Linked DNA regions of Elephas maximus indicus. The protein of the gene in region 1 interacts with the protein of each later gene in a biochemical or structural test. Links are inferred from orthologs where the notes say so. Each region holds a gene or a part of one and is shown on either strand. Other genes may lie near its edges.

Evidence for each region.
Region 2: the proteins of CCNE1 (region 1) and CDC25A form a complex in vitro, tested with the Homo sapiens proteins (2 studies listed by BioGRID). The link is inferred for Elephas maximus indicus from reciprocal best matches to the Homo sapiens genes CCNE1 and CDC25A.

Annotation. Positions count from the first base shown.
Region 1 is NC_064839.1:11,548,446-11,564,197, forward strand, and holds the start of CCNE1 (G1/S-specific cyclin-E1), read left to right. Parts: upstream 1-7,381; 5' UTR 7,382-7,445; intron 7,446-7,803; 5' UTR 7,804-7,827; coding exon 7,828-7,850; intron 7,851-7,944; coding exon 7,945-8,032; intron 8,033-8,296; coding exon 8,297-8,365; intron 8,366-13,017; coding exon 13,018-13,163; intron 13,164-13,268; coding exon 13,269-13,404; intron 13,405-15,752. UniProt on the Homo sapiens protein: Essential for the control of the cell cycle at the G1/S (start) transition.
Region 2 is NC_064838.1:52,518,475-52,534,327, reverse strand, and holds the start of CDC25A (M-phase inducer phosphatase 1), read left to right. Parts: upstream 1-8,854; 5' UTR 8,855-8,908; coding exon 8,909-9,078; intron 9,079-10,072; coding exon 10,073-10,146; intron 10,147-11,759; coding exon 11,760-11,802; intron 11,803-12,628; coding exon 12,629-12,665; intron 12,666-13,122; coding exon 13,123-13,224; intron 13,225-15,211; coding exon 15,212-15,331; intron 15,332-15,853. UniProt on the Homo sapiens protein: Tyrosine protein phosphatase which functions as a dosage-dependent inducer of mitotic progression. Directly dephosphorylates CDK1 and stimulates its kinase activity. Also dephosphorylates CDK2 in complex with cyclin-E, in vitro.

The DNA.
Region 1 (15,752 bases):
AACTGTGGTGCCTTTTACTGAGATGGGATAGAGGCAGTGTTATGGATTGAAATGTGTCCCCCAAAAATATGTGTCAACTTGGCTAGGCCATGATACCCAGTATTGTATGGTTGTGCACCATGTTGTGATCTGATGTGATTATCCTATGCGTTGTAAATCCTAACCACTACGATGTTAATGTGGCAGGATTAGAGGCAGTTATGTTAATGAGCCAGGACATAATCTACAGGATTAGATTGTATCTTGAGTCAATCTCTTTTGAGATATAAAAGAGAGAATGGAGCAGAGAGGAGGAGGGACCTCATTACCACCAAGCAAGAAGAGCCAGGAGCAAAGCATGACCTTTGGACTTGGGGTCCCTTTGCTGAGAAGCTCCTAGACCCAAGAAAGGATTGATGACAAGGACTTTACCCCAGAGCCAACAGAGAGAGAAAGCCTTCCCCTAGAACAGCTTCTTAAGCTGTGAGAGAATAAATTTCTGTTTGTTAAAGCCACCCACTTGTGGTATTTCTCTTATCGCAGCACTACATAACAGGCAGGTAAAGCCAGAGTGGGGCATATTATACTTGAGATGCGTGTGAGACTGCCAAGTCTCAGAGATGTCCTGTGGGCAGAATAGAGGTGTGGACTGGAGGTAGTAAGACCACCTAGAAAAGGAGTATATTGAGAATAAAGATTCGAGAAAAGTTCTGGAGAACTCCTTCATGTAACTAGAGGAGGAGGAGCAAAGGAACTGAGAAGGAGCGGCCAGGGAGGGGAGAGAAAACCAGGAGAGTGTAGTGTCACCAATGGCAAGACCAGAAGGTGTTCTCAAGAAGAGGGGAGTGGTCCACCGTGGTCAACACTCCTGAAAGGGCAGTAAAATGAGCCTGAAATGTGCCCTTTGGATGTGGCAAGATGCAGGGCATTGGTGACCTAGATGAAGACAGTGTCTGTGGTACCACCTCCTGCTCTTTCTCCTGAGCGGCAGGGACCCCTGCTGTAGGTGCTGGCCCACCCTGGCTGGCCTGCTCATCTTAGCATTTCTCTTGCTGCTTGCTGATGCCCTTGGTATTCCTCCTGCTATTTTGTGGACTGCTTTTCTTCTCCACTGGGAGTGAATATCTCGAGGGCAGGACGACATCTGATTTAGCCTTCGCGCCCCTAGAATAGACTTCATCCCTGCATCCATTCAGCGAACATTTAATGAGCACCTACCGTGTGCAACGCATCTTGTGGACCCTTGATAACTAAATCCTTTCTATTATCCAGCATCATGACACGTGTGAAGACAGGGAACATGATTAATTGTCCCCAGACACTGGAACTGAGCCCACTAATGTCCCCACCAAAAATGGACCAGAGTGAACTAGGGGACTCCTGTGGGAGCTGGGGACAGATCCTGAAAACACAGCCATCCTCTCCCCTAGACCCTGGGTACTGAACCCTCCATGTGCTCTCCCACAGGCCCCTACTTCAGCCTCACAACCACCCTCTTTACATCCTTCCAGCCAGAGAAGGAAGCCAAAGCACTGGGCACTGGAACTACTGCACCCAGGTCACATACTGAGATGGGAACACCCAGAGCTGGAAACCACCTCTCCCAGCTCCGCTCCCCAGGCCACTGCACAGGCTCCCATGGGCACCCACTAATAGATGCTGCAAGGTCTCCTCCTGCAGGAAGTTCTCCGGAATGCCCTCAGTTCAGAAAGATCCCTCCTCTGACCTTTTTACATCCCCGCCCATTGCTCACCCCTTTCCTTACGCTGAACGCAGTTTTATATGCTAATTTTAAACACTATCATATTGCATGGTGAGAGTCATTCCCTTTTCAACCCTTTCAAATGTTCTGCTCAATCAAGGAGAAAGTCTCTGTTTGAAGCTGAGGTGTCCTTAACACCTCTCGTATTTGCTGCTCTTTTTAAACAGAAAGAGATCAGGCCCCAGGCTCACAGCCTTAGGCACTGTTCTTGGTTATAAATATTTTTATGCTTCCCTTCTGTTTGTGACTGCTGATGCTGGCCTAGGGTAGGGATAGGTTTTCCTTTTCAAACAAGTGGACTTCAGTGGGACTTACGAATCATAGCGGGAGGTTGAAGGTGCGTGGCTCTCAGAGCAGAGCAGCATGAGGGTGGCATCAGAGTCCTTCTGTGTCCCCAGTATCAGCCCTACGCGAGCCACAGCAAAAGAAGGACCCCCACCCCCAACCCCACTCCGTGCATCCAGCCTCCCATTGCCTTCTGGAAAAGTCTTTCCTTTTCCTTTGCTCACTCATCCATCTGTTTGTTTATTCAGCACACCTGGCTGTTTCAGGCCCTGTTCTAGGCTCTGGGGGAACGCTCAGGTCTTTAGGTCTGCAACGCTTCTGGCCTACCCCTTCCTCACTGCTCTGTACTTTTCCTCCTTCCTGTTTACTTATCCTAATGGATCTGGATGAGCTCTGAATTCCTAGGTGGGGTCACAAGGTCAGATAGTTACAGTGGGCAGGTTGATACCTGTGATGGTTAATGTCGTGTCAACTTGGCTAGGCCATGATTCTCAGTATTATGTAATTGTCCTCCATTTTGTGATCTGATGTAAGGGGAGTTTCCTGGGTGGTGTGGCCTGCATCCAATATATATGGATGTTCTGGCACAGCTCTCTCTCTGTCTCGACTGTGCATCTGACTTGTCATCATCTGACCCCCGGTTCTTGGGACATGAGCCAGCAGCCTGCCACCTGACCTGCAGATTCTGGGAATCACCAGTTCCCACAGCCCTGTGAGCCAGCAGCCTGCCGCCTGACCTGCCAATTTGGGTGCATCAGGCCCTGCAACCGTGTGAGTCTGACCCACGGATTTGGGACTTGCTGGCCTCCACAACTGTGTCAGCCATTTCCTGGAAATAAATCTCTCTCTTTGGAGCCCTGGTGGCATAGTGGTTAAGAGCTTGGCTGCTAACCAAAAGATCAGCAGTTCAAATCCACCAACCACTCCTTGGAAATCCTACGGGGCAGTTCTACTCTGTCCTATGGGGTCGCTATGAGTCGCAATTGACTCGACGGCAATGGGTTTCGCTTTTGGTTTGGGTTATATATATTTATATATATATATATATATACACACTTCTTCACTGGTTTTGCTCCTCTAGAGAGCCCAGTCTAAGACAATACCCAAAGGAATAAAGCCATAGGGAAGAGCTGCCCCACCCAAAGAGGGTGGCCGTCTGCCATTGCTCTGCACACACGTGAGTCCAACTGTGCTCCCTCACCCTGCTGCTCAGAGTCAGAAACCCTCATGTGTACAGGAACTCATATTCTTGCTAATCTGATACTCTGTGGGGCCCAGCATCAGTTGCCATCTCTGCCCCATCGTCTTCGGGGGCCGTCCTTGTCAGTTAGTGTCCAACTGACCCCCAGAGCATGTGAGGTCTTCCTGGCAACTCCTGGAGGACAGGGCCAAGCCGGTCCACGCCAGCCTCACTGGCACTTGTGCCGGGGCAGGCATACAGGGGCTCCTGAGGCTGCCATGCTGATTGACATGTGGATTCCCACAAGACTGATGCAAGCCAGTGACTGACGGATGATTCTAGGGAGGTTAGGCTTTCTGGGGAATTGAGAGGATGACTCTGACGTCCAGTGCCATGTTCAAACCTGGCACCTCCTGAACCATGTGCTGGTCAGCCACTCCTGGATAGATTTACAGAACCTTAGAGACAAGAGCCTCAGTGGCCCCAGGGGACCACTGGGAGGCTCACTGGTGGGCCTGCCCTGGGCTAGACAAAGTCTGATGGTTCATTGCACTTTGATGCTACATGACACTCTTGATTGCAATTAACAGGAACTCAACTCTTAACTGGCTAAATAAGTATGTGAAAATAACGTATTGGCTTTAGTATCTGGAAAGTCCCTAATAATTTGGTCTCTGCCATGATTGGATCTAGGGGCTCAAAGGATCAAAAGCCGGCCTTCCAGCTTCTCTGCCTCCTCCCTTCCCCCAGGGCTTCAGTCCAAGAAGGTTCACCCTGGGTGGCAAGATAGCCTCCTGGCTCCAGTCCACTCAGCCTAGCAACCCCAGAAAATTTTCATTGGTTCAGCTTGTGTCATGTGCCTATCACTGAACCAATCACGTGGCCACGAATGTGGTGCTCTGATTAGCCAGGACTCTCCCTTACCTGGTGTTTCTAAGAAAATGTGGCCACTGACCAAAAGGGAAGCGCCAGGGTCTTCTCTGTCCAAGCTCCTGCTCTGTCTTGCAGCTGTGCTTGTTTTCAGAGAACCCAAAATGAGGTTTTAATGAAAGCTGGGGATATGGTGGTCAGACTCGGGACAAAGCACCTTCTTCCTCAGCCCTTGCTGACGCATTCCCCACATCTTGTCACACACACCCCCTGTGCTTGGAGTGTCTTCAAATTAGTCTCTGTTCCTTGCAACCCTGAGCTGAGCCCAGCATCCACAAATGCCAGCTGCCGTCATTGTTCTATCATATACTGAGTTTAAAAGCTAACTGTAATTTTCATCAGGGCTTTTTAATGGATCCAGCCTGCTGTCTAAAGAAGTGTTCACTGGACTTCCTCCCCTGTGTAACAGGCTTTTAGGCCAGGCCTGGGACCATCCATTGGTTTGCCAATCCTGTCCCTGTAAGCCCCCCTACCACACGCGGTAGCATGAGCTCAGTTTGAGCAGCAACCAAGCCTTGGGGAGCACGGATTTGGGCCCTTGACTCTAGCAGTCCTGGCAGACGAGTGTAGACAGGTTTCCAGGGCTGAGGGATGGCTGGAGCCAAGCCTCCCGGGCTTTCCCACACTCTGGTTCCCCAGCGCTGTGCTGCAGCAGCTCTGGGCAGCCTCTGTGGTTGACAGTCATTGTCTTTTGTGCATGTCTTTTGCATCTGGCTTCTTACATTCAATATTATGTGTGTGAGATTCATCCATATTGTTGTGTATTTCAGAGGTTTGTTCTTTTTTTATTGTTGTGAAGTACTCCATTGAATGAATATGCCAAAGTGTATCCATTCTACTGCTGATGAACATGTCAGCTGGGATATTGAGCACCTGACCTCTCATGCATTGCTGGTGAGAGAGCCAATTGCTACAACCACCAAGGAAAAGGGTCTTGTTTATCTCTGTTATCCTTATAACTATGTGCCAGGCACCGTACTAAGCGATCACCTGCGTTATCTCACTTAATCCTTGCAATGACCCAGGAAGCAGATAGTTGCCATCTGTTAAAGAGGACAATCATAGGACCAACATTAGAGCGCCACTGTGAAGTTTCACTGGGATCACGCTTTGATGGATTTAGACCAATGCTGCCATCTTGGAAGTGCTGTTTACGATACCTGCTGTGAGTCAGAATCAACTCCACAGCACACAGTAACAGCAATTGTCATTACCAAAGAGCACAAGGATCAGGAGCCTGGGTTCCATGCCCACCTAAGAAGCCAGCCTACACAAGTCACCTCAGCTGCCCTAGCCTCAGAGCTCCTGGGAACTCATGAATCTGCTGACGAGGATCTCTGGGGAAGACACAAGACCTGATCTTCAATAAGATCCAGGCTCTAACTTCAAGGAGCCAGCCACTGAGGGAGGGAGGAAACACTGAGACTGAACCAGGAAGGGCCTGAGAGTATTCAGGAGCCCTCTGTTAAACCCTCCTTCTAGAAGTTGAGTACAATTACCAGTGACAATTGTTCAATACCTGTCTCTCCCACTAGCACGTAGGCCCCACAAAGGCTCGGGCAGGGTACATTTCATTCATTCATTCAAAAATATGATTTAGGGGTCTCCCCTTTTTTTTTTTTCCTCCCCAGACATTATGCCAAAAGCTGGGGGATACAGCTGTGAACTAGACAGACAAGACAGCAAGGGGGACATTGACCAAGGAAACAAAGAAGTGGCCTCTGCGAAGGACCACAGCAGGGCAGTGAGATGAAGGGAACTCCTGCGGAGACAGGAGTGCTCTAGATTAAGTGGTCACTAAAGACCTCTGATGCAGTCCTGGTGGCACAGTGCTTAAAGCACTCGACTGCTAACCAAAAGGTCGGTGGTTCAAAACCACGAGGGGCACCAACGGGAGAAAGATGTGGCAGTTAGCTTCCGTAAAGATTCACAGCCTTGGAAACGCTATGGTGTCGGCTATAAGTCGGAATCCACTCCATGGCAGTGGCTTTGAGTTTGGCTGAAGACCTCCAAGGCTTCTTGGGGGGATGAGCACCACAAGGGGTCCAGGCGAGGGGAAAACAAGTTCCAAGGCCTTGAGGTAAGAAAGGACAGAGGGTGGCCGCTGCAGCGGTGGGGAAAGGCTCAAGGAGGTCTGAGAGGGAGAAGAGGGGCGGCTTATTCGGCGCACTGCAGACCAGGGTAGGGAGTGCGGATTTGAACCTAAGGTTGATGGAAACCCCGCGTCCGAAAGGCCTTTTGGTGGGGGAGGGGCATTCGTGGAGGGCCACATGGAAGGCGCTCGAGTATTAATTGAATGAATAAATGCACAGATAGAGGGACCGACGAGAGCCGACACGGCGCCAGGACAAACAGCTGGTGCACAGGCGGCCCCAGACCCGCGGCCAGAAAGGGCCGGCAACCACGCGCTGTGACCTTGGACACGTCCCCGCCCGGACCCGGGGCCCGGAACCGTGCCTGCGTCTCGAGGGCGGGGAGGACGTGCCTGGAAGGACTGGGCGCGCGCGCGCAACGGGCCGACGGGCGGCGGGGCCTCGGCGACCAGCAGCCTCCGGCATCCGCGGGTCCCGGCGCGAGCCCTAGCTGTCCGCCGTGTTTACATTCCACCCGCGACGGCCACGCGGCTCCCAGCAGCTCAGCGCCGCGCCGCCCCGCCCCCTGAGCTCCGCGGCCCGCCCCTCGGCGGCGCTCGCGCCAGACTTCTCCCGCGTTCCGCCCGGCGCGGGCTCTGCCGCTCAGGCCCCGCCCCCGGCGCGGCCCCGCCTCCCTACCGCGCGCGCTCTGGCTCTCCCGCGTCCCGCCCGCGCAGAGCCGCAGCTCGGGCCCCGCCCCCGCCCAGGGCCCCGCCCACCGCGCCCGCGCCTGTCCCTCCGGCGCGCAGGCCCTGTCACTTAGCCCCGCCCCGGTCCCGCCCCGGGGAGGCCCCGCCCCGGCCCCTGGCCCCGCCCCGCGCGGCCCGGCTCTCCTCAGCTGGCTGGCGCGGAGGCGGCCGGGGCGGGGCCGAGGGCGGTGGCGGGGCGGGGCGGTCCCCTCGGCGGCCGCTGAGGGGCTCGGAGCGGGGCGGGGCGGGGCGGGCCGGGGCTGGCGGGAGGGCGCGGGGGCGGGCCGGGGGCCGGTTCCGCGCGCAGGGATTTTAAATGTCCCGCTCGAAGCCGGGCGCAGGAGCAGCCGCCTCGGCAGCCAGCGCGGTGTAGGGGGAGGCGCGGATCCCGCCGCCGCGCGCTCGCCGCCGCCCGCCTCCCGGCTTCCCGCTCGCCCGCCGCCTCCCGCCTCGGCTCGTGCCGACGCCCGCCGAGGAGCCGGCTTCGGGTAGGGCTCCGCTGCGGGCTGCGGGCTGAGGGCCGGGGTCGTCAGCGCGGGGTCCCCCGGGGAGGGCCGAGGGAGAGGTGCTGCGGGGAGACTGAGGCAGCCCGGGCGCCGAGGCAGGCGGGACGCCGGCGGGCTTTCGGGGGGCGCCCGGGGCCCGTCAGCCCTGCTTCGAACCCGGGATCGCGGGCTGTTGGCGGCGCCGCGGGTGACAGGCCACCCCGGGCCCATCGGCCATTTTCCCGGCCGGCCCAGGAGGCTCCCGCCGCCGCCCGCGCGGGAGGGGGAGGGGTGCCGCGGCCGCCTGGCCCGCCGCCCGCCCGCCCCTCCGCCTCACCCCTGCCCGCGCCGTGCCCCCCAGGCCCGGTCGGAGCCGCCCTGCGCCATGCCGCGGGAGAGGAGGGAGAGGTGAGTGCCGGCGCGGGGGGGGGGGGAGGGGGAGGGGTGGCGGGCGGGCGGGACGGGGGCTCACCCGGCCGTGGTGCCACCACCCGCTTTGCAGGGATGCGAAGGAGCGGGGCACCATGAAGGAGGACGGCAGCAGCGATCTCTCTGCTCGCTCCAGGAAAAGGAAGGCAAATGTGGCCGTTGTGAGTACAAAGGGGACAGGTGGGGCCAGGACCCCCCGTCTTACCTGGGTACCAGGCTGGGCTCTGCCCACAAACTTGTCCAAAGGGGCTTAGGCGGGGGATGCCTTTGGCAGAAATGGCGCTCATGACCTAATCAACTTTCTTTTCTCTCTCCCTCTCTCTCTCTCTCTCTCCCTCTCTCCCTCTCTCTCTCTCTCTTTCTCTGTGTGTTTTGTCTCTGGGTTGTTTGGTGTGTTTCTGTGTGTGGGGGTTGTTTTACCTTAGTTTTTGCAGGATCCAGATGAAGAAGTCGCCACAATTGAGAGGACTGTGAGAAGCCAGTGTGGCAGTCAGGTACATGTGCTCGCTGACCTGGTCCAGCCGGAGGGCCTCCCCCTCTCCACGGTCAAGTTGGGTTTATGCCCTGCCACCTCCTGCTGAAGGTCTTTTCTCTAATTCCATACAGTCCACACAGCTGAGCACTGTGCCTGCCGGTGGGCACTGGCCTCTGCCAGCCTTGGGCTTCCAGGAAGGTCTTGTGCTCCTGACCAGCACGCTCTGAGATTATAGATACGTGCTGTCTGGAAGAACCAGAGCGGACACTAAATAACTCAGTCCTTTCCTTTTACCCAGGAGTCCTGGGTGGCCCAAACAAACTGAAAGGCTGGCAGTACAAACCCACCCAGAGGCGCCTCTGAAGGAAGGCCCGGTGGTCCTCTTCCAAAAGATCACAACCTTAAAAACCCTATGGGACAGTTCTACTCTACAACACGTAGGGCTGCCACAAGTCAGAAGCGACTCAGGGCAACGGGCTTGGTTTTTTGTTTTGGGTTTTTTTTTTTCTGTTTTTACCCATGAGGAAACTGAGGCCCAATTGTAGGAAGAAAGTAATCCAGGGATGTATACAGGCTGGGGGCAGAGTCAGGCCTGCAGCCGTGTCTCTAAAAGCTCACGAAGGACGGAAGGTTCTGGACACAGAACTCTCAGGGTGACTGTGATGATGGGTGCTTGTGTGTGTTTACAAGCACTGACTTCCCCACCCACACTTAGATTGTTTTGTCACAGGGGAGTTTAAGGACCTTTTTTGCTGCCCTGCCCCTACCCCATACTTAGGTCCAGTTTCAAACCTTCCACCTATTCTGGCCGTGGGAGTTCCTCCAGCCCATCCAGCAGTTAACCACTGTGATCAGGGCTCATCCTGATCTCATTCTGTGTAATGATGTGTGTGTCTCCACACATTTCTCATTGACTGGTCCATTTCTCTCGTCCCTCCCTTAAGTAGTTTCTGTCGAGTTTCCTGCATATAGGGTGCCGTCATAATATCAGAGATTCTTTGCAGCGAAAACTTGCATTATCTCTACACCCAGAAATGGCTGAGACTATAGTTAGCGTTCCACTAGGGGAAGCAATCTATCTCCAAACTAGCTGGTCAGGCCTGACGCTATCGCAGATAAAAGCTGCGCGGGAGTAGTTTTCAAGCTGTGTATGCGGTCCTGCCTGGGTCAGGGCAGCGAGCAGTAGCCACGGCAGCCGGGCTGGGAAGAGTGAAGGGCTTCAGAGCTGATGGGCCGCACTGTTTGCAGCAGCATTCGTCACTGCACTGACCTTAGTATCAGGCATTTCTGGGGCAGATCTGCTGAATATTCAGCAAGGGTGGAGGGTTTCTTTCTCTGTTAGAAGAAAGAGTTTAGGAGAGGGAATGGACGGCACATCCTAAGTTCTTTCTCCCCCTTTTATGCCCCTAAAGAGAAAAACTTCTTATCAAGCAAGTGGATTTCCGAGGTGTTATAAAACGAACCCCTACTTGTAAGAATCAAAATTGTTTATTTTCTTAGCTGTGTTTCAAATGGAAAGGAACTTTGCAACTGAAGGTAAAGCAAAGCCCCCCATGTTGACTTCTTGGTGCAGTTTCTAGGGTGCCTAAGACAGGGCCCTGTCCTGGCACTGCGGAGCATTGATAGCTGGGATACGTGAATAGCCATATTATTTCCCACTAGAAAGCATTTCGTGGTTGTCCAGAGACTCATGAGAACAGGTTTCTGTGTGTTTGTAGAGTAGATAGCCTGAAATTTATCCATCTGTTATGGAACAATGTCTTTGTTATTTCTGTGTAGATTCATGAAGCTAGAATTTGAGGACACAACAGAACCTTTTTAACTATTAATTACACAGAATTTTCCTCAGGAGTTATTTCAGCGGGCCAGTCATGAGTATAGGACAACACTCTGGTATAGCCCAGTACAACAACCCAAGTTTCCTGGAGCCGTCGTGCCGAGTGTGACTGCTTCATCAAGGCCGTCCTTAGTGAAAAAGTGCCTTTTGTCTAAAGTCCAAGGAGCTCTGGTGGAGCAAACAGATGAATGCTTGGCTGCTAACTGAAAGGTTGGCGGTTCGAACCCACCCAGCAGCTTTGCAGGAGAAAGACCTGGCTATTTGCTTCTATAAAGACTACAGTGAAGAAGACCCAATGGGGCAGTTCTACTTGGTCACATGCAGTTGCTATGAGTTGAAATGTACAGCACCTACCAACAACATCTAAAGTCCATTTAGCATACATACCCATTTCATTGTTTTATTTCTTGCACATGACCCAACATTAGTTTTGGAGCAGAGTCTGGGACTTTGCTAATTCTCAGAAAATCATTTGGCACAATGTAATTCTATCCTTAGTTGTGGCATAAGACATCAGGGATGGTTAGGAGTAGTCACAGTTGGTCTCTTGCTGTTCTCCCATTCTTTCCTAAAGCCAGTCTGATCTTTCTTCCTTTGAAACTTGGTGTACGCTTCAGGCTAAAGACTTAGACTTCATTATCCTGCTTCTTCTGGAAAAGGCCAGCTTTGGGAACCGTTTGTCTGCGTGTGGTTCACCTGACTTGTCTGTGAGCTGCAGGTTGGGAACTGCTGCCGGTTTACCACCAAAGGCCTGCTCAGCTGTGCCAGCCGCCTGGCTGTCGAGGGGGGTACCAAGCTTCTGCCTTCAAAACTAAGCTTCAGTCTCTTCTTGTATGAAGAACAAAGTGAATTTAGAGCAGTTGTAATGTGATCTTCTCTGAGTCAAGGAAATGCCACCGGCACATGGTATTAGAGCTGGGGAGGAGGGTGCCCTTCTCGCACAGCTGTTGGCAGGCGCTGGGATGGACGATTTGTCTGCCCGCTTCTCTGCGCATCAGGTGGTGAAGAGCTTTCTCACCTTGCCTATCTCAGGAGACTGAAAGTGCTCAGGTGTCCTTGAAGGTGGCCAGTGTGCTATGATGGCCACTGTGGACCTTATCTTCCACGTGGCATGTAGAGCCCAAGTCCTCAGGGTCATTTATGGTCATCTCAGGTGTCTTTTTTTTTTTTTTTTTCTAGTCAACGTTAATGGCCTTTCTGCATTAAAAAAAAAAAAAAAAAAAAATTGCCAAGAGTCTAAAACTTCCATTGCTGGCAAGATTGTTTCCTGCCATATCTTCAACAAAATCATTGTGTTATAACTTTAAAAATTAAACATAGGCTTCTTTTTATAGTATGAAGTTCAGCAGAGCAGTTTAGAGGTAGCTTTAAAAAAGAAAATTTTCCAAATGGTGCAATGACCTTAGTCTTTTCCAAACATGGAGAATTGAATAAAATTAAGTATTTGAAAACTTTAAAAGAAAAGCATATTGGCTTGGTTTTTAATGATTCATTGATTTAGCAGGTATTTGAGTCTTACTTTGTATAGGGCTCTGGGTTCAGGTGTCTTTAGGATTTTGCCACAGAAACGAGTAAGTGTGGAAAACTGGACAAAAATTTCAGTTTGCACCCAAGTTGTTTTCTTTGATCTGTCTTTACCGTGTCCCATGGCAGTTTTTTTTTTTTTTTTTTAATGTAATCAGTATCTAAGCTCTTTTTTTTTTTTTTAAGCTCTATCTGCATGAACGTCTTAGTATAACCCGGGATCGTTGCCTGATTAGGTTTTTTTTTTTTTTTGCACTGATTTCGTTTTGCTTTGAATTAAGGAAAATAGAGGATCTTCACTGTGTAGCATGTTTGGCTCTTCCTGTAACTAAGGGAGGATATCACATCCTATGTGTTCTTGTTTCAAAATGGAGGAGTCTAATGAGAATGGCAGTTGGTGTATATGTTTGATCTTTTATAGTTTTCTGTGTTACACTTTTAAGAAAGTTTAGCAGATGAATTATACTTGATAAAAAACAAATCTTTGGCTTGTGACAAAATAATCCCTGAGTAGGGCCGTCCCTGGATGGTGCAGACGGTTAAGCGACTCCCGTACTAGATGAAAGGTTGGCAGTTCGAACCTAATTCATCTTTTTTCATCATAGTTTAAATAGTTGCAAAGATTATGTTTCTCAGAATATCGTAAATATTGATAATTGATCTTTGCTAATTAAATTACTTTAAAATGTATCCAGTGGAGTACAAATATCAGCTACTTGATAGCCACAATCATAAATTTTAAGAATATATGAACAAGCATATCTAATAGCCAGAGGTGCCTCAGAAGACAGGCCTGGCAATCTGCTTCTGGAAGGTCAAGCCTTGAAAACCCTGTGGAGCACAGTTCTACTTTGCACTCATGGGTCACCATGAGTTGGAATCGACTCAATAGCGACTACAAATGACAACAATCCCATAGTATTTCTTTTTCCTAAGCAATTGCAGAAGTCATGCCTAGTATTTTACTGAGCTATAAATGGATTTGTCTGTCTTTTTTTTTTTTTTTTACTGTAAGAGCTATTGGCATTTTATTTTACCCTTCTGTTCATTTTGTTGTTCAAGTACCCCATATAAGGTGGTAATGTGGAAAATATTCTTAGGTATTTACTTGTAGACTCCTAAGCTGATGAAATAAAAGCTTGACATCATCTCTGTGGCTTTTACTTACCCATCTCCATCTCACTTTAGGCCTGAAGGCTATTCTCCAGTGGGATATTTTTTTTTAATACTGGCCAATCTACAAATCAGTGAATGTAAAAATAGCCATTGTACATCAGGCACCAAAAACAAAATGTGTTTGTCTTTTATAGCCTTGGGACAGTAATGCAGCCTGTGCAAACCCCTGCTCCCTGATCCCGACACCTGACAAAGAGGAGGGTGAGCTGGCATACCCACATTCCGCCTACGAACCTCCGAGTTTCGCGCCAACGAGAGCCTCACCACTGCCAGTTCTGAAGTAAGTGTCGCTGTACACGTGGCATCCAGACCTTCCACTCCGTGTCGTCACCGTCCCCTCCCTCGTCAGTCTGGGTGCTTTCTAATACTCGTTTATGTTCGGTAGCTGGGCAAATAGAGACGAAGTGTGGAATATCATGCTAAACAAAGAAAAGACCTACTTGAGGGATAAGCACGTCATGCAGAGGCACCCTCTTCTGCAGCCGAAGATGCGCGCCATCCTTCTGGACTGGCTCATGGAGGTGAGTGGAGTCCACCCTTTAACTGGAGGTGTTGACTGTTTCTAGAATATTCTGCACCGTTATGATCTCTGCGTGTTTGATTCCATTCCGTGTTTTTGAAGCTGTGGTATATTGCGGTGATCTTCTAACTCTTTTACTTGCTTCCTTCCTTAAATGAATTTCTGCAATCTTTTTACTCCTGAGATGATTTTGTTCTTGTTGGGTGCCATCGAGTTGATTCCGACTCAGAGTTGACGGTAATCTTTTTTGTCTCCAAGGTTAAATAGTTGCAAAGGTTATATTTCCCAGCATATTGTAAATATTGATAATTGATCCTTGCTAATTACTTTTGAATGTATCCAAAGGAGTACAGATATCAGCGACTCTATAACCAGGGTCATAAATTTTAAGACTATGTGAACAAGCGTATCTTTTACAGTCAGAAATTTTACATTGTTCGTTTTTACTCTCTGAAGTCCATTCCCCTTTCCCTGTAGGATTTTGTCCTCCCAAAATACATTGTTTACATCTTTTATCAGTTACCTCACACTTCCCTGCAGCAATCACTCAAAATAATAAGTATTACTAATTTTGATAGATAATTGTTAAACATAAGAAGTGAAGTTTTTTTGGCAGCACACCTCTTTCTGGAATGAACCGTGGGTGGCTTACAGGGCCTGGCTTAAGGAAGGCTTCCCAGACGCCATTGTGAGACTTGGGGTGGCTGGGGGTGGGCTTTCCTGTGAGTGGAAGAAAAGCATGTCAGGCAGACCCGTTCCATGGAAGGGTATGCATGGAAGTTGGGAATCCAAACATTCCCCAAAACTGTGCTGTGTACCCTTTGAAAAGCCTGTATTCCCAGGGTGCAAGGGTTAAGAGCTTGGCTGCTAACTCAAAGGTTGGTGGTTTGAACCCAGTAGCGGCTCCAAGGGAGAAAAGACCTGGCGGTCTGTTCCCCTAAAGATTACAGCCTAGGAGGCCCTATGGAGCAGTTCTACTCTGTCATACAGGGTCACTGTGAGTCGGAATCGACTTGACGGCACACAACAGCATGTGTACCCTGGTTTCGCTAGTCCTAGAATCAAACGCCCCACTGCCACTAACCATCTGTGTGCCCCTGGTCTGGCAGGTCATTTAACGCTAAGTCTTAGTTTTCTCATCTGTAATGTTTTCTAGCAGCGTTTTCCTTGCTGAGTTGGTTAGGATGGAAAACAGCGTCTTCCAAATGCCACGTACATAGTTTGCTTTTCTTTGTTGCCCCCTGAGAATGTCGACGTTTTCTGCACTGCGTGCATTGCAGGCCTGCTTTTAAATTACAGGCCCTGCAGTTGCGCCCCCAGCCCCGCCCCGCGTCGTAGAGCCCTTCAGTGCCCTTTGGAACTTACATGGTTTCTTGAAGCCTTAGGTATAATATGTTTTAATCTCTCGGGCTTCAGTTCATTCCCCTAAAAAGACTGCGAGGTTCTATTTTGTATAATCAATTGATGCCATTAGGCTTTGAAGGAATGTTTTTTTTCTTAAAGGCAATCAAAAATCATGTAATATACCATTGAGAGGATAAAAAAGGATGGTTACCTTTATGTCTTTAGTGGGACAAGCCTGGAGCCCAGGATTCACAGGCCTGCTTGTCTGTGATGATGTTACGTTTCTCCACCCCCAGCCCCGCTGAGAATCTGTGTGAGATAAAGGCAGTGGGCTGGGCCAAACAGGTCTGAGAGGTCCTTAGAGAACAGAAGGCTTAGTTTCACTTCTAGTCAGGTTGTAGTTGTTTCTTTATAAAAACTGAGGCTAAATATAATATGGCTCAGCCTACGCTTCAGAAATAGTCTTTGGTAATTGATGAAATTTTCTTATTAATATTCTGTGGGTTGTTTCTCCAGCTCTTTTTCTATTATTAATCCCCTGAATTGCAGTCATTTAAGATGTCCTGTTTAGTAATGGCAGTGTTGATGTATAGTGTTATGTGTCTACGTAATCAGATATTTGGTGATAATGGGGGAGGGCTAGTATTTTCTGGATCCTTTTCAGCTTCATCAGTGAACTATTTCTCCGGGTCTCAGCAATCCCGTGAGGTAGGCAAGGCAGCTCTTGTCCAGATTTTATCCTTTGAGATATCTGAGGTAAGTGGGTTTGCCCAGGATTGGAACCTAGCCTGGTACTGGGTCTCTGGGTCTTTTGAACACTCTTTTAAACAGATTTTGCCTCTTGTGATTTACAGTGTTGTATACCTGTTGTAGTCTTTAAGTGTGTGTTCCCGGTTCTAAACTTTCTTACTAAAATTGCCCAGTTGTGAGGAAATATACTAGTTCTTTCCTCGAGTCATAATGAAACTTGTCAAGAGGGAGGCATTCTTTGAGAGAATTCGTAGT
Region 2 (15,853 bases), on another chromosome or scaffold:
TCTTTACAGAAGGGGATCGTTAGGTCTTTCTCCCGCAGCACCACTGGGTGGATTTGAACTGCCAATGTTTATTTTAACAGCCAAGCACATATCACTTGCACTACCCAGGGACCTAGCCAGGGGAAGAGTGGGAGAAAAAGTTCTCAAACTTCTCCAAAGAGAAAGGGGACTTTACAGACCAGCCTCATTGCCTCAAGCTTGAGTCCAGTCCATTTCCACTGGGGGGTGGGCAGGGTTGGATTCTCAGAGGCCCTTTCTAAATCTGCTGCCTTCAGGATAACATCCAAATTCCGTCCACAAACATTTGTTCTCATAGACTATGAACCAAGCTCTATGCTGATGCTAGAAACCAGATGCTGCAATGCCCAGGTAGAGTCCCCGGCTTATCCAGGAGGCCTGAGGCTATTCCCTCCCTTAATGCCTGATTTCCGCCCTCTAGGGGCTCCTCCATTTTGAGATAAGAAGAAAATCTGGAGAGTGTTGTCCTGAAAGCCAAGCATGCAAATACAGTTTTCAGCTGTATCCCCTGCTACTAATGGGCTGCTGCTGCCGGAGTAAGATGAGGACTGGGAGTTGGTCAGTGGGAGTTGATCACTGGATTCAGCAAAATGAAAGTCCCTGGAGAATTGAAGGAGCCCTGGTGGTGCAGTGGTTAAGAACTCGGCTGTTAGCCAAAGGTGAGCAGTTCAAACCCACCAGCCGCTCCTTGGAAACTATGGAACAGTTTTTCTCTGTCCTATAGGGTCACTAGGAGTCAGATTTGACTCAAAGGCCACGGGTTTAGTTTTTTTGGTTTTCAGCAAAATTTTGCTATTAATGATAATAATTTCAATAATTTCTGCGTTCTGTTGGATCACCTTTCTTTGGAATGCTCATAAATATGGATCTCTTCCAGTCAGTTGGCCAGGCAGCTGTCTTCCAAATTTCTTGACATAGAAGAGTGAGCACTCCCAGCGTTGTATCCATTTGTTGAAACATCTCATTTGGTATTCCATCAATTCTTGGAGCTTTATTTTTCACCAATGCCTTCAGCGCAGCTTGGATTTCTTCTTTTAGTACCATCAATTCTTAATCATATGTTACCTCCTGAAATGGTTGACCGTTGACCAATTTTTTTTTGGTACAGTGATTCTGTGTATTCCTTCCATCTTCTTTTGATGCTTCCTGCATTGTTCAATTTTTTTGCCCACAGAATCCTTCAATATTGCAACTTGAGGCTTGAGTTTTTTCTTCAATTCTTTCAGCTTGAGAAATGCCAAGAGCGTTCTTCCCTTTTGGTTTCCTAACGCCGTTCTTTGCACATTTCACTATAATACTTTGTCTCCTCAAGGCGCCCTTTGAAATCTTCTGCTCAGGTCATTTACTTCATCATTTCTTCATGCTAATGAATTCCAAATCTCTATCCCGAGTGCTAACCCCCCCCAAAAAAAATTTTTTTTGTGGGGGGGAGCCCACAAATACAAAACTAAGTTCATTAAACTCCTCTAAGAACTGTGCCGCCTGTTGAAATAACATCAGCATCCACCCAGGTGCTTGAGTCCTTACCTGGGAATCATTCTAGATTCCCCCCTGTCTTCCGCCCAACTCAACAACTAGTTTTCAAAATCCAGTAAGATCTACCTCCTTTATGGCTCCCAAGATCACCCTCTTCCTCTTGTCTCTGAGACCACCAGACTTGGGCTTGATCCAGGATCTCATCATTTCTCACCAGGACTGCTGAGACAGCCCCCTCCTTGTTCCTTAGGCCTCCTAACTCTCCCCCATGGATCCATCCTGCAGCAAATCTGATCTTCTGGTCCCACCCTCCACACCCTCCACTATCCACAGGTTGAGACCAAATTCTTCAGCAAACTTTAAAGCCTTCAACAATGGTCCCCTTCTTCCCACTTGGGTCCCTCATGTATGTCCTAGAACCTACCAGAGCAGCTCAGGAGTAGTTCCCAAAAAGTGCCACGTCTCTTCTCACCTCCCAGCTTCTGAAGGCTCTTTCCTCTCCTTAGAAAGCACCCCACCTCACCCCAAGTCCCCCTTTTCCAGGTACCCATAGCTTCAAGCTTCAGCAGTTTTAATTTCTTTTGGGAAGTCCCCCTCTCCCTCCCTCCAGCCTTCTCCATCTCCTTTCCTCCTCTAGGTCACCATTGGCGTCTACTATCACAGAGATAAGAGTCCTGAGTGGCACAAATGGTTAGCGCACTAGACTACTAGCTGAAAAGTTGGCGGTTGGAACCCACCCAAAGGGGCCTGGGAAGACAGGCCTGGTTTCTGAAAGGTCACAACCTTAAAAACCCTATAGAGCAGTTCTATTCTGCACACATGAGGTCGCCGTGAGTTGGAATCTACTCAAAGGCAGCTAACTACAATAACGACAATCGTGGTGATGTTTCCGTTATTACAAGAATCATTCTGCAAGATTGCATTTTACATGTAGCAGATGGGCACTCCTTGAAGCATTTTTATTTCTAGCACTGAATTAGTCCCAGTAAAAAATAGATAAACATTTATTGGATGAGTGAACGAATGCTCTTACAGGGATGTTGAATCAAATATTAAGCTACACAAAACAGGAAGGAGGGAAAGAAGCTTTCAGAGATATGACGGGGGAAATATTTGAAACAGTGGACTGGGGCTGGGGGATGGGGTCACATTTCAGACCCCAGGGATTGTGACAGAGGAGAGGTCTAAATAGCCTGAAGCTTCTGGAGGGAGCAGTGTGAGCACAGGAGAAAGGAGACAAAGCCAGAGAGGCGCATCTCTGCGAAGGATCTGGTGTTCTGGACCAAAGGGTTCAGGCTTCGGCCTGTCAGCAGCGCTGCTCAAACTAGAGGTGTGTCATGACTTTAATTTTAGTGGCTTATAACCAGCTTTTTTTTTTTTTTTTTTACGTGAACTAGCATAAAATAGAAAACAGTGTATTGCGTGTAGTGTGAGTAAATGATGCATTGAGAAACTTGGTGCATGTGTGTTCTAGGTTGCGGGTCCAAATGTGTGGAAGCGCCTTCTTTATGCAATGGAAGGTCCTTGAGAAACTTTAAGCAGAGGGAAGGGAGAGGAAATCAGGTATGCATTTACAAAGGTCACCTGGGTGTCAGTGCTAGTGGAAGGCTTGGTGGGGAGAGAGAGGGGGTCATATGGGGGTGCCATTTCCTATCAAGAGGACTAGGGAGGGTAACAGGTTTGTAAGAAGAAAAAGTGAAGTCGATTTGGGGCACGTAGAATTTGAGTTGCCAGTGGGCCTTTCTAGGTGGATTCAGATAAAGGGTTGAAGTTCCGGAAGGAGATTCCAGTGGGAGATAGGGACTTGGGAGTACTACGGGATAAGGCAGGAGGGTAGGGCAGGGCTGGGGGTGGGTGAGATGGCTCAGGAAGCACCTGTGAAGGAATGATGGGGGCTTCTGCTGGAAAAGTTCACATCTCGGAGCAAAACATTTAGCTATAGGCAGCAATTAGCCTGTGCTCAGAATGCAATTCTAAAAGCTCAGTACCCAGCACAACCCAGGATAAACACAAATTCTGTATTAGAGCTGTGTAATCTCTGGGTGTCAGGGAGTTCAGTGGTTTCCAAACCTGGCTATGTTTCAGAATGATCCAGAGAGCTTTCTGAATATACAGATTCCAGGAGCGCACACCAAGACTACGAAATCAAAATATCCAAGGGAGAGAGAGGCCAGGGGTTCAATATTTTCCAAAAAGCTCTCCCAAGTGGTAACCATAATAATAAAAAAAAAAAGTCTGCTGATACGGAACCATGTCCAAGATATTTGAAGTGGAAAACAAAGCAAGGTTCAGGACTGTGTTCATATGTTATTGCGTGTGTGAAAATTTTTTTAAAAGTGTGCTTGAGAGAATATGTATTGGTTTTGTTAGCATATAACACAAACTCTTCCAAGGAGACACAAAAAATTGGCCTCAGTGGTGACCTCTGAAGAGGAATACAGGGTAGCTTGGGACAAGTGTGGCAGAGAGAATTTTTTACCCTAGGCCTTTTTAGTATCATTTAAATTCCTACCAAATGAATGGATTACCTACTCATTAAATAGCTAAATGAAAGTTAAAGCTCCCCAGAGGATTCGGATGGAGACTCAGAACCTGGAAAGCCCCAGTTCCAGGTGCTCCTCCTTGTCTCTACAATATCAAGGACAATGGTTGTCAGCCTCCTGCACCGCTCATTCCATCTTAGAAAGCCTAGTTCTGACCTTCCTTCTCAGTGCTCAGCTGAAGCCCTGTAGCCTCCAGGGAGGCCCAGGCTGTCTCCACAGCAGACAGATTGAGAGAGACATACCATTTGCCCTTGAGTCAACTCCACCTCATGGCGATCCCATCTGTGTCAAGGTAGAACTGTACTCCGTAGGGTTTTCAATGGGTGATTTTTTTGGAAGTAGACTACCAGGCCTTTCTTCAGAGGCACCTCTGGGTGGAACTGAACCGCCAACTTTTCTGTTAGCAGCCAAGCAAGTTAACTGTTTGCACCACCCGGGGACTCTGAGAGGAGAATGGGCCTGTGTAAAACATTGTACTGGAAAGGAATGTTTCCATTTCTATAGAAAATAAATCTTATAGATTGATTGGGAAAAAAGTCTAAAAAATTTCCAAACCACACATGTAATGTTTTGGGGTGTTTCTTTTTTTTTTTTTTGGTTTTGTTTTTAGCAATAGAAACTCCTTCAAACAAAATATACAAGGTACAGCAATATATAATGTAGATTTAAAAGCCAAGCTACTGTGGTAGCAGCTTGGCAACAGGAGGAGCCTAGACCCCCAATGGGGCCCTTCACTGCCTGAAAGACACAATTGTGGGCCATCACCCTCACTGTCCACAGGGAGAATCTGAGGCCTACTTTCCCCTCCACATCATCCCTGTCCAGTTCAAGCCACGACCATCTCATACTAGGCCTGTTGTTATTCCCTCCAAACTGGCCTCCCCAGCTGTACCCTAGCCCCTCTCTAATCTATCCTCTACAATGTAGCCAGGGCTATCTTTTTAAAATGTATGTGTAAGCCCTTCAGTCACTTCCCCTTACTTTTGGGATGAAGTCCAAATTCCAGAATGTGGCTCACAAACCCTGGTAAAGCCTGGTCGCTGCCCACCTCCCCAATCTCCTCTCTCTTCTTGGATCCTTCCAGCCTTAGGGTCTTTGCACAGGACTTGTTCCTCTGATCAGAACACTCTTCCTCCACCAAATAAGGACTTATCCTTCTGGTCACTTCCTCAGGAATTCCTTGATCTACAAGGCCAGATTAGATTCCCTTAAATGCTCTCAGAGCACTCATACTTTTTCTTTGTAACATGTATTCATTAACTCAACGTGTTCTGGGAGGTTCTCTTTAACTTGAGTTTGTAGAAGCAAATGTAAACATATGATAAGTGCTCTTCAGGGGTGGATGATATCCAGGGTGGGTATCAGTCAGAGTCCAAGGCTAGAACTTCCCTGGCAAGGGAAAGAAGGGTGGGTGTTAGCTAGGTGAAGGGGGAATGGGGGTAGAGATGGCACTCCTGGCAACCTCCAAGGAAACAATGACTTGTCTATTCGGGCCTAGAAAGTTGGTAGGCCCTCAGTAGAAGTCAAATGAATAACAATTGACTTGCCCCAAAGCAGAATCAGTCCTCCAGATTGACAGTGCAGAGCTCTTTCCTTCTAACACCACCCTGCGGGACTTCAGAAAGCATGCCTAAATTAATGGGGCAAAGGGGCAGTTCAATTACGCTTTTCCTTTCATAAATGAAGATAGCCCCCAAACATCATACAAATCACACTCAACTTTAGTCAACCTTTAAAAAGGAAAAAGATGGTGGCTTTGTGACATTACTGAATCCAAGCTTTTATTCCAATACTTGGACTTTCTGGGATAAATCCTTTGGAATGTTATCCCACTTGTGCCAGTCCCATTCAGGAAATGTCTGCCCAGTCAAGAAGGACCTTTCATTCCTCGATTTGATCTTGAAAAAATAGTGAACACACACAAAAAAGTTCAAAGTGTTGACAGTTGTTCCTTTAAAAGTGGTAGGAATACGGGTTTTTTTTTTCTAATTTTGTAATTATGTTGCATTGTTTGCCTAATACAAACATTTGAAAGCAGTTTTTTAAAGAACCATTTTCATACAGTGGTAGGCCCTGAGCAGGGAAGTGGTCATAATGTCCACCACGCAGTTAAAGTTGCCTGAAACAAACATGCATTCTAATAAGTAGAGTATGTTTACTCTAAAAATGCTGTTGAAAGACAAGTCCTCTTAAAGCCTGGTGGTTGTATCTATGCCCGTCTTATGAAACCATTCTAGGAGCCACCAGTGGTTGCAAGGGTTTAAAAAGAAATACAGTCACCTATTCAATTAGGATAATAATTCCCATCTCATAGAGCTGTTGAAAGGATTAAATGGATGCAGGTAAAGCAAACGGAACAGTGGCTGGCACATAATAAGCACTGTTTACGTGTTAGCTATTATTATTTTTACTACCGTTGCTATCCAGCAGCTCCCAATGGAGTAAGAAAGGGTGAAAAGGAAATATTCTAAGACAGTATATATGAAAAAAAAAAAAAGATTCCTACTCATAATGATTCTATAGTACAGAACAGAACTGCACCATAGGGTTTCCAAGGCTGTAAATCTTTACAGAAGCAGACTGCCACATCTTTCCCCACGCAGAGCCCTGACCAACTGCACCACTAGTGTTCCTAGACAGTATATAAACCCATTGCCATCAAATGGATTCAGATTTACAGCAGAATATCCCGTAGTCCTTAAGTTGATTCTGACTCACAGAGACCCTGTAGGACAGAGTAGCAGAACTGCCCCATAGGGTTTCCAAGGAGCGCCTGGTGGATTTGAACTACCATCCTTTCTGGTTAGCAGCCATAGCACTTATCCACTATGCCACCAGGGTTCCCTTCAGTATATAAAATAGTAAGGTCTAAAATGGAAGTGGAACCCTGGTGGCACAGCGCTTAACCATTAAGGCTGCTAACCAAAAGGTCAGCAGTTTGAATCCACCAGCTGCTTCTCGGAAAGCCTATGGGGCAGTTTTACTCTGTCCTATAGAGTCGCTGTGAGCCGGAATCAACAGCAATGGGTTTGGGTTTTTAAAATGCAGTTGAGCACAAAACTCTGAGGCCACATCCTAGAGTGACTGGTAACCTTCCAGATGGAGTTAATGCCTGCACCATCTTGGCAGTAAAGAGAGTTCCTAGTACCGGAGAGAGAGAATGTGGCCTGCTCTGAAGTCCCTCTATTAACTATAGTTCAGGAAGATTAGAGTGTATGCATGGTACGGGAAAGATAAGGAGCAGCAGGAATGGCAGAGGGGAGCCCCCGAGAAGGACTGAGTGCTCAGAATAGGCTGAAGAGAATCCCAAGAAGATGTCCTGGGAGAGGGAAAGGATGAGATCGATGCAGTAGAAAACATGGCTTGGAAGAGGGAGCGACTCTGGCAGCTGAGAGACCAGCTAAAAGGCTGCTGCAGTCGTACAGTAGGAAGATGATGAGGCCTACACCCGGGCAAGGGCAGCAGGCACAGGGAGAGGTAGGGGCCAGAATCTACAGGAGCACTGTGTGTGTAATAGAAATATACCTGCGAACCGCATAGATTTTAAATGTTCAAATAGCCACAGTGAAGAGAGGTGGAAGTAATTGTAACGCTGTGCTTTTAGCCCAACAAAAATGTTATCATTTCTCCCTGTGATCAATATTTTAAATTTATTGAACTATTTTACATTTTATTTTTCGTACTACGCCTCGGAATCCGAGGTGGATTTTTACACCGAAGGTGCATCTCGATTCGCGCATGAGGCATTGAGGAACTCAAGCCCCCTTTGGCCAGCGGCTGGTGGGCAGGGCAGCCCGCGGTGTCCGTGACGGGCCGCTGGCCGGGCTGGTTAGAGCTCCCTTGGGGTCAGGAGCCGGGGAGGATGCGGGCGGGCCCGCAGGCTGGCTGGGCGTCCTTCAACTTCTGTAACTTCGTCTGGGGCCGAACAGAAGAGCAGCCCATAGTGCTGCACGGCTAGAGAAAAGGCTGGGCCCTGCTGACTCGGACGAGTCCTCTCATCTCCACATTCTCTCACGCTGTGGGGCGCGGGACACGCGGGCGTGGCTCAACGCGGGTAGGAGGTCCCCCGAAGTACACGCGGAGTGGGAACTACGCTTCCCAGCATACAACGGGTCAAGAGGGGTCCTTTGGTCTCTGCCGGGCCTCGCAGGGCCTGCTGGGAGTTTTCATTGACCTCTGAGTCCCTCTCGTTTCCACCCGCCCCCGTCACCTCTGGGCCCCGCCCCCTCAAGAGCTGGTGACCTCGCAGAGTCCCGCGAGCGGCTCCCTTCTTCTCCTCTCATTGGTCCAGCCTGGCTGCCATTCGGGGGCGGGGAGGTAGCTTACGGATTGGCGGATTCCATTTGGCGCCAACTAGGAAAAGGGGGCGGGGCACCGGCGGCCCTTTAGTGAGCCACGAAAGGCCATCTCAGCCCCAACAGCCCGGGAGGGAGGTGTGGGTTTGCTTAGTGTTCTGCGTCCCCGGATTGGGCAAGGGTGAGAGAAGAACGAAGAGTGTGTGAGCCCGGGCCGTTGCCTCGCGGCCCTCTCCCGCCCTCCTTTTCTGATCCTCAGTGTTTGGATTTAATCTTCAGGTTGCCGGCTCCCGCCCGCCCGCCGGCCTCGCGGGGGGCGGGTCGGGCCCCCGTGCGTGTGGCTGGCGCCTGCCCGGCCCAGACACCCGCCCGTCCGCGCCGCTTGCCCGCGGCGGCCGCGTCCCTAAACCGCGGGGTCGTGTTTGTGTTTGACCCGCTGACACCGGCAGCTGGGCGCGCGGCCGAGGCCGGTGTCGGCGCGGCGGGGCGCGGCGGGGCGCGGCGGGGCGGGGCGGGGCGGGCGCGGCGGAGGCGGAGAAAGAAGGAGCGGGAGCCCTGGGGAGGCCGGGTGCCGCCATGGAACTGGGCCCGGAGCCCCCGCACCGCCGGCGCCTGCTCTTCGCCTGCAGCCCCCCTCCCGCGCCACCGGCCGTCGTAAAGGCGCTGTTCGGCGCGCCAGCCGCCGGGGGGCTGTCGCCTGTCACCAACCTGACGGTCACCATGGACCAGCTGCAGGGACTGGGCAGGTGAGGAGGAGGTCAGCGGTGGGGCTCCAGGCTGTCGGTCCTGGCGGTCCCCGGGGAGACTGGGCCGGGAAACCGGCTCGGGGAGAGGCGGACCTGCCCGCCTGGGTCTGCCGCTCGGGGGCGGCAGCGCCGGCCCCAGGGCCCGCCATGTGCACCCTTTTCTCGTGAGGAATGTTGGGCGGGAGAGGCCATTCGGACCCTCCAGGGCCGGACCCGGTGTGGGGTGGGGATGGCCCCTGCTCCCCACCTTCACCACCCCTTTGGGGTTACCCTGTACCCTCCTTCTGCCTCTTCCCTATCCCAGGGAGCCCTCTGGAACCTGTCCCCACGGGGAGAAAGCAGGGCCTCCTTAGCCCTTAGCTGAACCTCACAGGATCTTAATTTCCTGTGAGCTTTGTTCCTACCCAACAAAGGGACGTGGCATTTTCTTTCCTGGTGTTTGTACAAAATTATCGCAATCTCTCCTGGCCTCGTGCGCATTCCTGTTGCCCACTCGGTTCCTTTCCCAAAGCCAGGCTTTTTTACCCAACTTTCCATACCGGAAAGCTCCGGGACTTTTTCTTAGAGTAAAAAATGCATCGTACAGTGTTTCTAATGAGGCAGCTTTTCTCCCAGCCTTGGGCATCCCTTTTTCTAACTAAGCAAATGTCTTCTTCCTTTCTAAACCTCTGAAAGGCAGAAACACTGCCCTGGTCATCTTTAATCGTCTCTTCTAGCCCAGTGCCTAGAACACATGTTCCCATTTCAGGAAATATTTCAATACTGGTCATAATCATACCCTACAATGTGGCCCAGGAGTGTGCCCACTTTCTCTTTTCTCCTCTGCTTTTATCCTCAAGTGCAAACTGGGTGTTCAGGGTGGGAAAGTGGAGCCTGGTGTGGCCTAGAAGTAATGATGGTTCATGGCAGCCCAGCCCGGCCACTTGTTAAGCTTGTGGCCTGTCTCCTGCATGTAACCTTTTAATTGAGTCCTGGAAATTTCTCTTGGTTGTAGTGAGTATGAGCAGGCACTGGAGGTGAAGAACAGCAGTCTGCAGAGGATGGGCTCCTCCGAGTCAACTGATTCAGGTATTTTCTGTCTTCAGTTACGCATTGTGTGTCTGCTGTGTAGGGGACAACACTGGGAATTTACTGAAATATTCCTCTTCACTTGGGGACTTATTGGTGAGTGGTTGAGACAGGATATGGAGAATGCAAGGCATCGGGTGACAAACACCCTTAGGAACAGCAGGAAGAAACCCCTTGTAGCAGTTTATGGAGAGACAAAACAAGTTCAAGTGTCTGCAAGGAAGTGGTGTGTGCTGGGCCTTGAAGGATGAGTAACCCACTGCCCACTGCCGTCAAGTCGATTCCGACTCATAGCGACCCTGCAGGACAGAGTAGAACTGCCCCATGGAGTTTCCAAGGAGCACCTGGTGGATTTGAACTGCCAACCTCTTGGTTAGCAGCTATAGCGCTTAACCACTACACCACCAGGGTTTCCGAAGGATGAGTAGTAAAGTAAAATTCACCATACCGTTATAAGTGTAATTCAGGACGTCATCGGTTAAAATTTGGGGTCAAGTTATTGGAAGTATAATGAAAGTATTTGAGTAAGCTTGTGGAGGAAAACCGCCACTGTATTATTCTAAATCATAAATTTATGTTACTACAGGGTTTATCTTTGCACAGATAAGAGCATTTGGGCACAGATACATTAGGTGAAAGAACTGCAAGAACAAAAGTCTTAAAATACAGGCAGCTTCTTGAGAGCTAGATATAGGATTTTTATTTGTGGCAGTGTGGGAGGCCTTTCATGAGATGGGTACCTTACTTTGGTGCCATTTTGTTGAAGGCAGCAAATATTGGCCTTACATGTCACACGACTAGTAATTGAATTTTCAAAATCCCAAATTTTCCCACGTGATTTGCCAAGATAAAATATTTGAAATTGAAACTATCCCAGAAAACCCTGATACCTGTTCTTTCTGTGGTTGGAACTGACAGTTGGAAAGTTACCTGAGTTACCTCTGAACAACCAGGCAATCATGCCGTGAATCAGTTTAACCTTTTCCTCAAAATCTGTTTCAACTGATGGTAATTGGGATTCCTAGGTAATGCAAACGGCTAATGCACTAACCGAGAGGTTGGAAGTTAGAGTCTAGTGAGAGGCACCTTGGAAGAAAGGCCTGGTGACCTACTTCCAAAAAATCAGCCATTGAAAACCCTATGGAGCATAGTTCTACTTTGACGTACATGGGATCTCCATAGTTTGGGTTTTTTTGTTTTGTTTTGTTTTGGTAGTATTTGCAAGTAGGAGAGGGAATTGATAGATTATACTACAAAAATATTCAGACTTGCGCAAATAAGATGTTTTTGACAATCAGCAAACCACAGAAATCAAGTAGAGGTTTGACTTCAGTTCTGGCAAAGGTCTAAGCTATGAGTCTTTATTGGCTGACTTATACGTAAAGTTCTAATTTTATTTATTTTTAATGACAAAATGTATTTTGTTTATGATTTTCTGAGAGATTTTTAGACACTTGCAAAGCACAAAGAACTGAAAATATTTTAAATGAAAATCGACAGGCAAATGGAAATTCTGGTTGAAGGAATGAAGGCTGCTTTATAGACCAGCTGAACTACAGTGATTAATGGCGGCTAGAAACACTTTTTTTTTTTTTTTTTTCAATTTCCCACAGGCTTCTGTCTGGATTCTCCTGGGCCCTTGGACAGTAAAGAAAAGTATGTATTCACTGCTTTTAAATGTTTGTGCTTAGAAAAAGGTTTTGTTAATTCTATAATGACATTTTTCACACTCTGGCCTAGACCCCTGGCTTTAGCTGTCCCTAGTCAACAACAATCAAACTCTGACACACATGGGGTCACCATAAGTCAGAATCAACTGGATGACTGATGGTAGTCAGACTCCTTAATCCTGCCAACATTCTTGCTATCTTTTGAGAATGAGTGGTTTACATCAGCAGTTTTCAGAACCTCTCCTCCTTTATTTTAGCTATAATTTTGATGTTCTATTCAGAGCACTCAAACCCCTACTCCACCCTATAACATCATGGCCTTAAGAAAACCTGTGCTTTCAGTCATTGTGAAGGTTCTCAGGGCAAAACAGTCACTCCCTTGAGGACTCTGAGCATTAGGTGGGACCGGTGGGGAGAGTGGGGCACAGGAGCAACTGAACTTAGTTCAGCTGTGCTTCTGTGGTGTGAGTAAGCAGTCCTTGCAAGAGGCCACTGTCACTGAAGATTAGGGATGAGGGAAAACAGACTACAGCAAAAAGCATTTCTGATCACCTCCAATGTATAATAATTCAGGGTTTTTGTTTTGTTTTGCTTCATGATTTTTGCAATTTTCTCGGGGAAGGGGGGAACCTGTGCGTTTTAAGGGAAGACCTTAGTTTGTTTTTTTCACCTAGAAACTCAATATTGGGTTTGCTTCTTTGGGAGGCTGGTCTGTGTAACTGTCCCCAGACTACAGGCTAGACACTGTTCGTCTGCTAATATGAATAAATCCTTGCTTTATTCTCATTATTTACCTTCTGGTCTAATTGCAGCCTTGAAAATCCCATGAGGAGAATAAATTCCCTACCTGTAAGTTAGTGTCCTTGTTTATTCTGAGCTAATACCTTTTCTCTGCCCCCTCCCCTCCCGCTTAGCTACCAATGTAACCTTGATATGAGATCTTAAAGGGTGAAGACTGCTTATCTATAAGCACAAGACTATGGAAAAGCACTCAAGACCCTCTACATATTCATCTCTACCAGACTTTTATCAAACCTGCCAGGGTTCTTTTTACACCAGTGATATTATTTTGGAGATGATTTGGCCTTTGCTGAGAGGAATGTAGACCTTGTCAGGTTAGGTGTAAAGCCATGTAATGAGGACCTCCAACCTGTGTTCTGGCAATATGGCGCCTTGGCCACACTTATTGGATACCTACTACTATAGTGTAAGAAGAGCTAGCCCTCCCCTCTTTTTTTTCTTTCCCTTTCTTTTGAGAACTGAATTCTCATTTATGTACCCTAATTTCCTCTTTTCATTTTGATAGCAGAAGCTCCTGGGGTGTAGCCCAGCTCTGAAGAGGAGCCATTCTGATTCTCTTGACCATGATGTCTTTCACATGATTGACCAGGATGAGAACAAGGAAAATGTGAGTATGGCATCGCTATACTAACGACTAACCCCGGGCAGAAGTAAAATCAATGACTGGCTGCTTTCTGGGAGCTGAAACCTTTGCCAAAATCAAGCATGGTCTTTGGGGTCAGAGAATCCGAGGTTTGAATCCTCCTTCTTACTCGTTGTGTGACCTTGAGCAAGTTACTTCTGTTTTTAGTTTTCACTTTCCTCATTTGTAAAATAGATGTGTTTTTTTATGACCATTGCTGGAAATAAGTGAGATAATGTATATAAAACACTTAAAATGGTACCTGCCATGTAGGAGTTACTCAGATGGCAGCTCTTAGGAATATTTATGTCCATAAATAGTCAGTCTGGGAGGGTCAGCCCAGGCTTTCCTTTTCTCTTTGCTCTAACCCTGAGAGCTCAGGAAAAGGCTTCTTGGCAGCATTTGGAAGAATTGGGTCAATAGGTTCCAGGGAATCTCAGGGTAATGGAAATGGTGGCTTAGAGGAGGAATTTCTATGATCGTCCATCTAAAAAAAAGTCTCAACACTGTGGCCTGGCCTTCTCTCTTGCATCTGGCAGGGTGCCTTGCATAGGGCAGGCATCCAAACTCACTGAATGAATTAGCCCAGGCCCTCTTTCTCACTATTTCTACATCTGTTTGTTTCCCCCCTTTTTCCATTCCCTGCTGAAATACCACAATTTATAATCCTTAAAATCTTCCACACTTACTGCAAAACCTGCTGCTTCCAAGAACTCTCCTGATGGTTCATTTGGCAACTTGAGAGATGTTTTGAGGGAGGATACAGAAATGAGTTTTTGTGGGAACACCCTGCTCTCCCTGTGTTGAGCACTTGGGCACTGCTCCAGCCTCTGTGTAGTGCTTTCTGCCACACAGGCCAAGCTGTACTGATGCCTGGCCCTACCCAGGGCTTGGCTTCTCCCAGGGTTGCCTGCCTGGACCCTTGTTCTAGAGGGGAAACTGGGTAGGTGATGGTAAAAGCGTGCCCTCTCTGGTGTCATACTTCCTAGCTTTGTGACCTTGGCCACATCATGTGGCCTATAAGGCCTAGTTTCCTCATCTGTAAAATGGGGGCATCCAGGTGGTATTTGAGGGTTAGATGAATTAATGCACAGAAAGTGCTTGGGTACTGTGGTGGCACATCAACATTATGTGATACTAGTTGTTATTGCACTGAGCCCTTAATGACAAGTTCTTAAGTGGGTATTTCAGGTAGGGCAGTGTGGTTTTTCAAATTTCTCTATAATTATACTTGTTTTCTAAACTTTGTATTGAAATCTAACATAAAATAAAATATACAGATCTCAAGTATACAGCCTGATAAATTTCTACAAGTGAGCATACCTATATAAGTACCACCCAGATCAAGATGACATGACCAAACCCCAGAGGCTCCCTTTTGCTGCCTCTCTGTCAGTAACCATCTCCCACAAAAGTAACCATTAGTCTCCGTTTTGTCACCCTACATTAGTTCTGCCTGTTTTTTAACTTTTTTTTTACACGGTATATATTCTGCCACATCTGGCTCCTTTAACTCAACATTGTATTTGTGAGACTTAGCCACAAACTGGCAAGCCAGTAGTTTTTGTTTTTGTTGCTTTTAGTATGTGATAGTTATTTGAAGCGGGAAAGGCATTTTCTTATGTGTATGAAGAGGTGAAAAATAGAAGGCCCTTAAGCATATAGTATTTATCCCAGTGTAGTGGTTTTTCTGAGATTTTTTGTTTTGTAGAGTTGGCAGATATTTGTATGTTAGGAAATAAAGTATTTGTGGTGGAGGGGGAATGCTGCTTTAGAAGTTGGTCATTGAACAGGTTACACATATCCAGTGTTAGAAGTTAGATCAGAAACAGCTCCACCCTTCATTCGGAGGCTGTTGTAAAGGTGGTGACTAGTGCCCACTCCTCTTGCCTGTCTCACCCAAGCTACAGCTGAGGCCCTAGAGCTGGTTTTCATGGACAGTAGAAGATGTCTCCGCTATACTGTCTTGCAGGAAGCCTTTGAGTTTAAGAAGCCAATCAGACCTGCATCTCGTGGCTGCCTGCACTCTCATGGACTTGAGGAGAGTAAAGATCTCTTCACGCAGAGGCAGAACTCTGCCCCAGCTCGGATGGTACGTGCCCTGACTTCCGCAGGGGAGCTGCTGAGGGGAAGCAAGAGTTAAAGCACCCTCTTTAACCTGGAACTGAAGACACTGCAGTAGTTCTTACTGTCTTTATCTTGACTTTGTCCTTTGAAACTAGGCTGTGAAACATTCTCGCTGTTTGAGACAGGCAGAAGCAGAGTGAGAGCTGTTGTGTTTGAAACATTGTACTTGAGTGGGGAAAATAATCTGCAGGCATCCTGGGTCATTCTAAGTGTGTGTATGATGGGGTTATATCTTTTACTTAAAACTTGCGCTTTTACTATGCATCCTGAGTGCTAGAGGCACTCCCCAGAGAGGGGTTTTATTTGGAGACAGCACTTGGCTTCTTCAAAGGTGGCTTATTAACAACAATGGTGAATTCCAGTGAACCACTGCCTACAGGCTGCTTGGCAGCATTTAGGGTCACTTGTCCCTGGGCTATTTATTTGTTAGTCAGAAACTGTCATTACTTCTAAAGTTTCCTACTGTTAGCCTGAACTGGATCAATAA